Linked DNA regions of Coturnix japonica. The protein of the gene in region 1 purifies or fractionates together with the protein of each later gene. This does not show direct contact. Links are inferred from orthologs where the notes say so. Each region holds a gene or a part of one and is shown on either strand. Other genes may lie near its edges.

Region 1 (3,805 bases):
TCAGAAAGGTGAGTTCTTCCCCCCTTTGACCACCCACTCATGTAACGTCCATGTCATTTCTAAGTATGCTGCCCAGACCAAGACTGAGGATGCTTCAGAAGAAGACCTTCCCTGCTAAGCCAAACAGAACAAGTAAGGTACCAAAATATGTAGAGCCAAACGAGGAAAGGTGCTCTAAGAAGGTAAGCATCACAAGAGACCAACAGGAATACTTACACAATCCAAACAATGCACAGTTTCTGTTCCACAAGCTGCCAAGAGGAATGTGTGCAGTACTCACAGCGCACCATGTACACTGCTTACTGCAGTCATACTGCTTCGTAGGACCAGCCCAACTTACTAAAACACTTTAATGAGCAATCCGAACTGTCTGGATCAGCACGGTTCACTTGGAAGGGACCTTCACAGATAAACCTGAAGAGGTGAGGCGACTGCACTATCTAAACCTTAAAGCATATAGGACCTTAAAGCATAAGCTTAAAGCACAGAAGCATGACCAGCAGGTCGAGGGAGGTGGTGCTGCCCCTCCACACTCCTCTCATTGAAACCCCATCTGGAGCACTGCACGCAGTTCTGGAGCCCTCAACACAAGAAGGACTTGGAGATGTTCAGGCAGGTCCAGAGGAGGGCCATGAAGGTGATCAGAGAGGGCTGAAAGCACCTCTACTATGTGCACAGGCTGAGAGAGATGGGGCTCTTCAGCCTGGAGAAGACTCCAAGGAGACCTTAGAGTGGCCTTCCAGTATCTGAAGAGGGCCTACAGGGAAGGCTGGGGAGGGACTTTTCATAAGGGCAGGTAGCAACAGAATGAGGGGAAATGGCTTTACATGGGAAGAAGGTAGATTAGGATTGGATATTAGGAAGAAATGCTTTACTGTGGGTGTGGTGAGACACTGGAGCAGGTTGCCCAGCAAGGCTCCAATATGATTGCTTTGCAAGTTCCAAACTATGGCTAACAGCTAATGGAAGTCCTCAGTCCAGCAGCACAAAATTTTATATTATCTTCTTAATATTCTAATTGTGGATTTGACGTTCATATAAAGAGCAGAAGGGAAATTACTCTTAGAGCTCAAGTCATCTTTCACAGCCTGCGTCAACAAGAGCAGCACCTCACAGCCTTTGGTTTGAAGACCCGGACCACAAGCTAGCTAATGATTTTACACAGAATTCCAGAGTTCAAGTCATTGTTTATGTTAGGGCTGCAATTCTACTGAAAGCCTTCCAGTTCATCACACTTCATTATCAATGGCACCACAGATACCTCACAAAGAAGCATTATGACGTCACAAAGGGGCATTATGACATCACAAAGGGCATTATGAATCACAAAGGAGCATTATGACATCACAAAGGAGCCTTATGACGTCTCAAAGGGCATTATGACGTCACAAAGGGCATTATGACATCACAAAGAAGCATTATGACATCACAAAGAAGCATTATGACATCACAAAGGGGCATTATGACGTCAAAAAGGGGCATTATGACATCAGAAAGGTGCATTATGATGTCACAAAGGGTGTTATGATGTCACAAAGGGGCATTGTGGACTTCACTGCCGCCCGAGGCTCGGTGCGCGCGCGGCCGCAGAGGGGGGGCGGCAGCGACCAGGGAAGACCGGCCAAGCGGAACGGAACCAACCCGGGAGCGGCCACGCCGGCAGCGGGGAGCGTCTTGCCCCGGATCAACCCCAGCCCCGCCCGCCGCTCTGGTACGAGCCGCAGCCCCGCCGGCCCCACATGATGAAGAGTTCCGTTCCGCGCAAGGGCGCAGAGCCGAACCGAGAGCGGATCAGCCACGACCTGTTCGCCTTCAGCAAGACAGTGGAGCACGGCTTCCCCAGCCAGCCCAGCGCCCTGGCCTACGACCCCTGGCTGTGTGTGATGGCCATCGGCACCAAGGCAGGAGCTGTTTAAGCTGTACGGCGCGCCTGGTGTGGAGCTGACGGGTTTGCACAAGGAGACGGCCACTGTCACCAGCATGCACTCTTCTTGGCCGGGCAGCAGGGCTGGCTGCTGTCCCCTGCTGGATGACAACTCGCTGCACCCCTCTGGGAGATCTACCAGAAGGAGGGCTGCTCCCACCTGGAGGAGACACGCAGCTTCGGGCTGCCTGCACGCCCTGGCTGAAGCTGCGTGTCTCCTCCAGGTGGGAGCAGCCCTCCTTCTGGTAGATCTCCCAGAGGTGCAGCGAGTTGTCATCCAGCAGGGACAGCAGCCAGCCCTGCCCGGCCAAGAAGTGCAGCTGGGTGACAGTGGCCGTCTCCTTGTGCAAACCCGTCAGCTCCACGCCAGGCGCGCCATACCTGGGGGGGGTGTTAAGGAAAAGAAACAAAAAACACCCCCAACAAAAACCAACACAGCCCCCCGAGCTCCGCTTGGCAGCCACTCAACCAGCACCCTGCACTGAGCCCAGGTTAACCCCCATTGCAGCCAAACCCCCTCCCGCTCCCACCCCACGTCCCTGACGCCCCACACAAATCCCCCAATCCCTGGCCGAGGGTCACCAAGCAACGGCCCTTCAGCTCGTGTTGCTGGGAGCAACCCGCTCTGCCGCCAGCCGCTGTGCTCATCCCGCTGCTCCCCCCACCCGCTTCCTGCCCCCAGCCCACCCAGCCCCGCACACAGGGCCCCGAGCGGCCCCGCACAGCAGCGAGCTGCAGGGTCTGCAGCTGGGGCCGAGGAAATGAGGTTGGATGGTGCTGAGCTGGAGGCCCCAGCGCTCGGTTCTGGGGTGAGACGCACCCTGAGCTACCCCCAGCCCAGAGAGTGGGATGGATCCGACATTCCCGGTCCCGTTTGGCCGCCCCATTGCACTCATGTAGCGGCCAGGAGCCCACCCGCAGGGATGGCCCCAATTAGCCACGCTCGCTTGGGCACGGACAATGTCCGCAGTGCTGGGAGCTCCTGGGGCCCTCAGCTTTCCCATGGGCCCCCCCAGCTCAGCAGGCACTATGCAGCCAACACCGGTGCGGCACAACCACAGCACCGAGTGCTTCACCGCGCCGGCACCGCAGGCCCAACGCTTCCGACCGCCGTCATGGGTCAGGATGCGGTTGGCATGTGGCCATGCGGGCACACGAGGGCCGGGCCGGATCCTGGCCTCCACCACCCCCTTCTTTCTCAGCAGGGTGGGGTTTGGTATGCGCCGGCACGGCCGCACTCACCCAACTGGTCCCGGCTCCTCCATCGGCAACGCCGCTCAGCAGGAAGCGCGGCAGGACCGGCACCGATGCTCTGCACCCATAATCACGCAGCACCCCAAGTGCATTGAGCCTCCCAGTCCCCAGCTCAACGACCCCACAGCCCTCCCAGCCAGCTGCCTCCATGGCCCCAACCCCGGGCACTGCCTCACACCTCAGAGTTACATGCGGGGCTGGATGGAGGCATCCCTGCAGCGTGGTTTCCGCACACCTCCCCGTGCCCCGCACGCTGCCCTGGGCACGGGGAACCGGCCCGGCGGCTCTGGCAGGTGGGAGCTGTCTGGCAGCGCCGGTGTGGCCAAGCTGGAGCCGCCGCGGCGCTGGGGACGGCCCGGAGGAGCCAGACAGCCGGGTTGGGGCCGTGGGGATCAAGGAGTGGGGCAAAAGCACAGCCCCAGGGCAGCCGCCGACCCACTGGGATGGGGCACGGCGATGGCACCCAGCGCTGCTCACCAACCCACGGCACAACACCAAAGGGCTCCCAGTGGAACTCAACACACCATCCCTAAAACACGCTGATGGGCAATAAGCACTAGGGCTATGCAGCACACAGCAGTGCAGTACTATAAGGGGACCAAGTGCCAGGACCCCCTGGTTGCTGAG
Region 2 (4,478 bases), on another chromosome or scaffold:
CCTCAGAGCAACCCTTACCTCACCACTGATTAAAACAGCTCTAGAGAATAGAGGCCTTAGAATTCTCACATACCAAGGCACGAAAATAAGGAGACAAGGACCCTATTGTTAGCACATTAACACCGCCCAGACTCAAACAGGCACAGCAGAACAGCCTACACACTATTAACACCTCATCTTCAAAGTTCTCAAATAATGGAATTCTCTGGGGGCACTCTAGAAATATTCCTATTTCAGTCACTTTAAGTCAGAAGAGATGACTCACACAAAGCAAACAACAGCCTGCAGGAGGAGCTTCCTCCACGTCAGAGGCAGCTGAAGTGTGATGTCAGTGATGGAACGTGACCGAGTTCCTGCTGAACCCTGCTGCAGCTATTTCAAGTATGAGCGCTATGGAAACTCTCCAAGCATTGTATCAATCTGCAGTTGTTTGGTTTTGAAAGACAACATAGTTTGAACGGTTAAGTAACACTGGAATTTAAAAGAACGCCACCAACAATCTTACTCTCAACTTGAAGCAAACATGGTGTGATTGCAGCAAGGATATGAACGGTCACATTTCCAAGCATGTGAAGTTAATTTTTCCCCCCACCATTTCCACAGACGTTATGCTCTAACAAAACTTGCCACATGCTCAGTACTACGAAGCTGATAAAGTAGAAAAGCTAAACTAATTCCCTGTCCATATTAATCTCATGTAATAATTGTCTATATTAATCTCATGCAATGTTTCCATTTGATATCAAACGTTGCACCACATTCCACTCTGCACTAACAAAAATTTGCAACTTTAATGAAGCACAGAAACGTAAAATCAGAAGAATCAGCTGGAAAAACACAGCACAAGCTATGGCAATGTACCAGGAATTCACCTGAGATACCCACGTGAGTAAGACTCGCTTATGAGAAGCATCTTTATGTCCTGTCTAATGCTGCATGCCGCTGCTACACTACCAGTCTTAAGCAATAATAACAGAACATAAGACAGATACATTTGCTGGAGCTTATCGGTATATTAGATTTCATTCCATACAAAACAAAGAATCGGAAAACACTATTCCCACTCACAATGGGCTTTGCAGGCATGGGTTTGTCAGTCGGTGCATGATTACTGAGTTGGACTACCTGAACACAGCGTTGGACACTGATGGCAAGCCTTCAAATCTTACAGCACTGCACAGGAATGCTCCCCTCCACCTCCCACACAGCTTTTCTTTCTTTTTTGGAGCTTCTTCACGGAAGGAAGATGACTCCTCTGATACATTAAATCTAGATACTTGAAAGTAATGTATTAGCAACAAGTAGTTCAGAGAACGCCTCGATACATTCTTCATAGTACACTAAGAGACAGCCCCAACTCATTAGACCTGCTCTGCAGAATGCCAAAGGAGGCACCACGCAGCTGATCCCTAGACATACTTGTAATCAGGCAATGCACACTACAGGGGAGGCTTGAGCTGTGGCAAGAAGTATTGCTTATAAACACGTTATTCTGATTGCTTTCAATCCTACAAGCACATAGATTAAAACAACAAACAACACGCTCCACTGACACAGTCACAGCTGTGCTTAACCAGCATTTGGGATCATGGCAGCCAAGTATTCCTTGGCATTGTGACTTCACCCATATCACAGTTAAGTTAAAAACGAGCAGTAATTATCATCCATGCTAGTCCCAAAAGCGCAGCACTGCTTTTCATGTACAAGCACTTGTCACACTAGTGTTTAAAAAACAGACAAGAAAAAGATCCCCAGCTCCCGGCTGCCTCTCCTACACTGCAAAGGGATGCTTGGATTGCAGGAAGGAGCAGAGTACGAACAGCAAACAGACCCGAGCGGCTTAGAAATAAAGAGGCACAAAAGGACTTTTTTTCTTTTAAACCAATGAAAGAAAACATCCCCACAGGGCCGTGTAGTTTGGTGTGATGATGGAAAGGATTTCACAACAACGCATTTCTTTAGCAGCTTCACACCAGTTAAGATTTCACATCTAACGCATATTAAGATTTACAGTTGTAAATGTAATTAACTGCAAAAGGACAAAGTACCAAAATATGATCACGGTAAGCCAAAAAAAACCCCAAGATCTGTTTCAGAACACTGAACATCTGCCAGCAAAACTACGGGAACCAGGAGAAAAAACCAACGGCAATGGATGCAGAAATGATGCAGAAATGCCAATAGACACATGGAGCCTGCGGAGATCTGACAGCAGGGCTGCTGGAGGAGCCACAGCGTGTACATACATACACATACATACACACATACACATACAGCCTCGTGAGAGCTCGGCCGGCACTAAGTTCTCATGCAGACTCTGCCCGCAGAGCAGCCCGGTGTGATGGGCAGCGATCACGGCCCGGCGTCCGTCACAACCCCCGACCCGACCCTGGAACGCCTTTAGCCTCGATCCCCCCCGAGCTCCCACCCCCGCCCCGCTCCGTCCCGCCGCTCGCTGCGCACACCGGGCCCGGTTCCTCCGTCCCGTCGCTCGCTCAGTCCCGCCGCGCGGTTCCCGCCCCAGGCCGCGCTGCCGCAGGTGAGTGACTCAGTGACTCAGTGAGTCCGTGATTCAGCCCCGACCCGCCGGGCTCCCCGCGGTTCCGGCCGGGCCGCCCGCTCCCCGCTCGCTTACCTTGCTCTTCACCTCCATGGTGCCGAGGCCCCGGCTGCCCGCAGGCCCGCGGTGAGGCCGACTCATTCCGCCGGCTGCTCGGCGTCTGCTCTTTTCTCTCGGCCCCGGGCGCCCACGGGTGGCAGAGCGGGACGCTCACGGCCCGGATCCCCCCGGATCCCCCCGCCCCTCACGCCTCCAGCCGCTCCTGGCACCGCGGCGCCGCCCTGACACAGCGGCACCGGGCGGGGCCGGCGGCTCCTGGCACCTGCCGCCCTCACACCGCGGGACGGGGCAGCGCCGCACCGCGCATGCGCACACGGGCGGGGCCGCGCACCTGCCGCTCGCGAGCATGCGCACTGAGCCGTGCGCGCTGAGCGCGGGACGGCGGCACCGAGCACCTGCCGGGTTGAGGCGGAGCTACAAGATGGAGGGGGAGGAACCGCACGGAGATGAGGAAGTACGGAGTGATTCTGTGTAGGGGCGGGGGTGGGACGAGCCGCGGGACCTTTGCTCGGCAGCGGGCGGGTCTGGTGTGCAAACATGGGGCTGTGCGAGGGAACGCGGCCCGGCAGCACGATGCGCTGATCTGTGAGGGAGGAGTGGGACAGCGCCGGGAAAGGGAAGGGAAGGAAAGGCCGCGAGTGTGCGGGGTGTGAGAGAAACATGACTGGATCCGAATGTGTGAGACTGTACGGAGCGGGATGTGTGTGAGACATTGAAACATGACTGACTGCATCCTGCTGGGTGTGACTGCCCCAGCCCAGGCCGTGCTCCCTCCCTGTCCCTCTCATGCTCTTTAGGCCTGTCCTGGCCGTGCAGTTGTTGGACTTTTCTGTTTTAAGCCCCGTCCGTAACCTGGTGACACGCCTGAAGGGTTTTCTGTGACGTCGTTTGTGTGTGTTACACTGCGATAGAACAACCATTATTGTGTAACCGTCCACATAGTGACCTTGGGGAGGTACCGGCAGACCTTAACATGGGGACCGTGTCATGCCTAAAATCTGAAGAAAAAGGATTTTTCATTTACAGAGTTTAGTATGTAGAGGGAGGAAGAAAGCGTGTGAGTCGGCTTATTGAAGTCAAGAGCCCCTTGCAAACCTCTGCCAGGTTTTTAAAGCAGTCAGTTGCCGTTTTCCTTGGAAGAACTTCCTGGAGCTGATCTGTGCCTGCAGCCGATTTTACTGTGGAACATTTCTGGAGTCTCACCTCAGATAAGGATTTTTTTCTATCTTGCATTCCTAGGATGGCTGGAGTTCCACACTGTGGGTGTGGTAACGTGCTTCAGGACTCAGGGCAAATTCATTTCAAGTCTCTGGAACTGACCTAATAAAGAGTATTAATCACTGGCATGCTCTCATCACTGGGAGCTGACGTATGAGGAAGGAATGCAATAAACAGCTTGATTTCAGATCAAGATACAGTGAGAGGCCGGGAGCAGCACAAGTTTGAAGAGCTATTTTAGTCACAGAGTCTACAAACCTGTGACTTGATCATGACTATTCATGGCACAACCAGTTTCAGCTTCTGTGAAGTTGAAAGACAGGTTGGGTTTTGTAATCCCTGGATCAGGGGGACATTCTGTTTCACTGCAGAGAAGTCCCTGGCTACTGCTGTCCCGGATGCTCTTTCAGGTCCATAGAACTGTGTTACCATCTGAGTTGCAGAGGACTCTTGAAGCCATCCAGTGCAACTCCCCTGCAGTGAGCAGGGACGCCTGCAGCTTGATCAGGTTGCTCAGAGCGTGGTCCAGCCTGGCCCTGAGTGGGACGGAGCACCCACCCAGCCCCTCTCTGGGCAGCCCATTTCAGTATCTCAGCATGGAGCTGTTCCCGAGCTCCCAACCATCCGGCTGCTTTCGGAC

The links.
Region 2: the proteins of LLGL1 (region 1) and PARD6B purify together in Homo sapiens (affinity purification with mass spectrometry; 5 studies listed by BioGRID and IntAct, counting the BioPlex papers as one, with this or other methods). This does not show direct contact. The link is inferred for Coturnix japonica from reciprocal best matches to the Homo sapiens genes LLGL1 and PARD6B.

What each region holds. Positions count from the first base shown.
Region 1 is NC_029529.1:5,078,466-5,082,270, reverse strand, and holds part of LLGL1 (lethal(2) giant larvae protein homolog 1), read right to left. Parts: intron 2,306-3,805; coding exon 2,085-2,305; intron 1-2,084. UniProt on the Homo sapiens protein: Cortical cytoskeleton protein found in a complex involved in maintaining cell polarity and epithelial integrity. Involved in the regulation of mitotic spindle orientation, proliferation, differentiation and tissue organization of neuroepithelial cells.
Region 2 is NC_029535.1:12,092,207-12,096,684, forward strand, and holds the start of PARD6B (partitioning defective 6 homolog beta), read right to left. Parts: upstream 2,856-4,478; 5' UTR 2,702-2,855; coding exon 2,636-2,701; intron 2,540-2,635; exon of another isoform or gene 2,479-2,539; intron 1-2,478. UniProt on the Homo sapiens protein: Adapter protein involved in asymmetrical cell division and cell polarization processes. Probably involved in formation of epithelial tight junctions.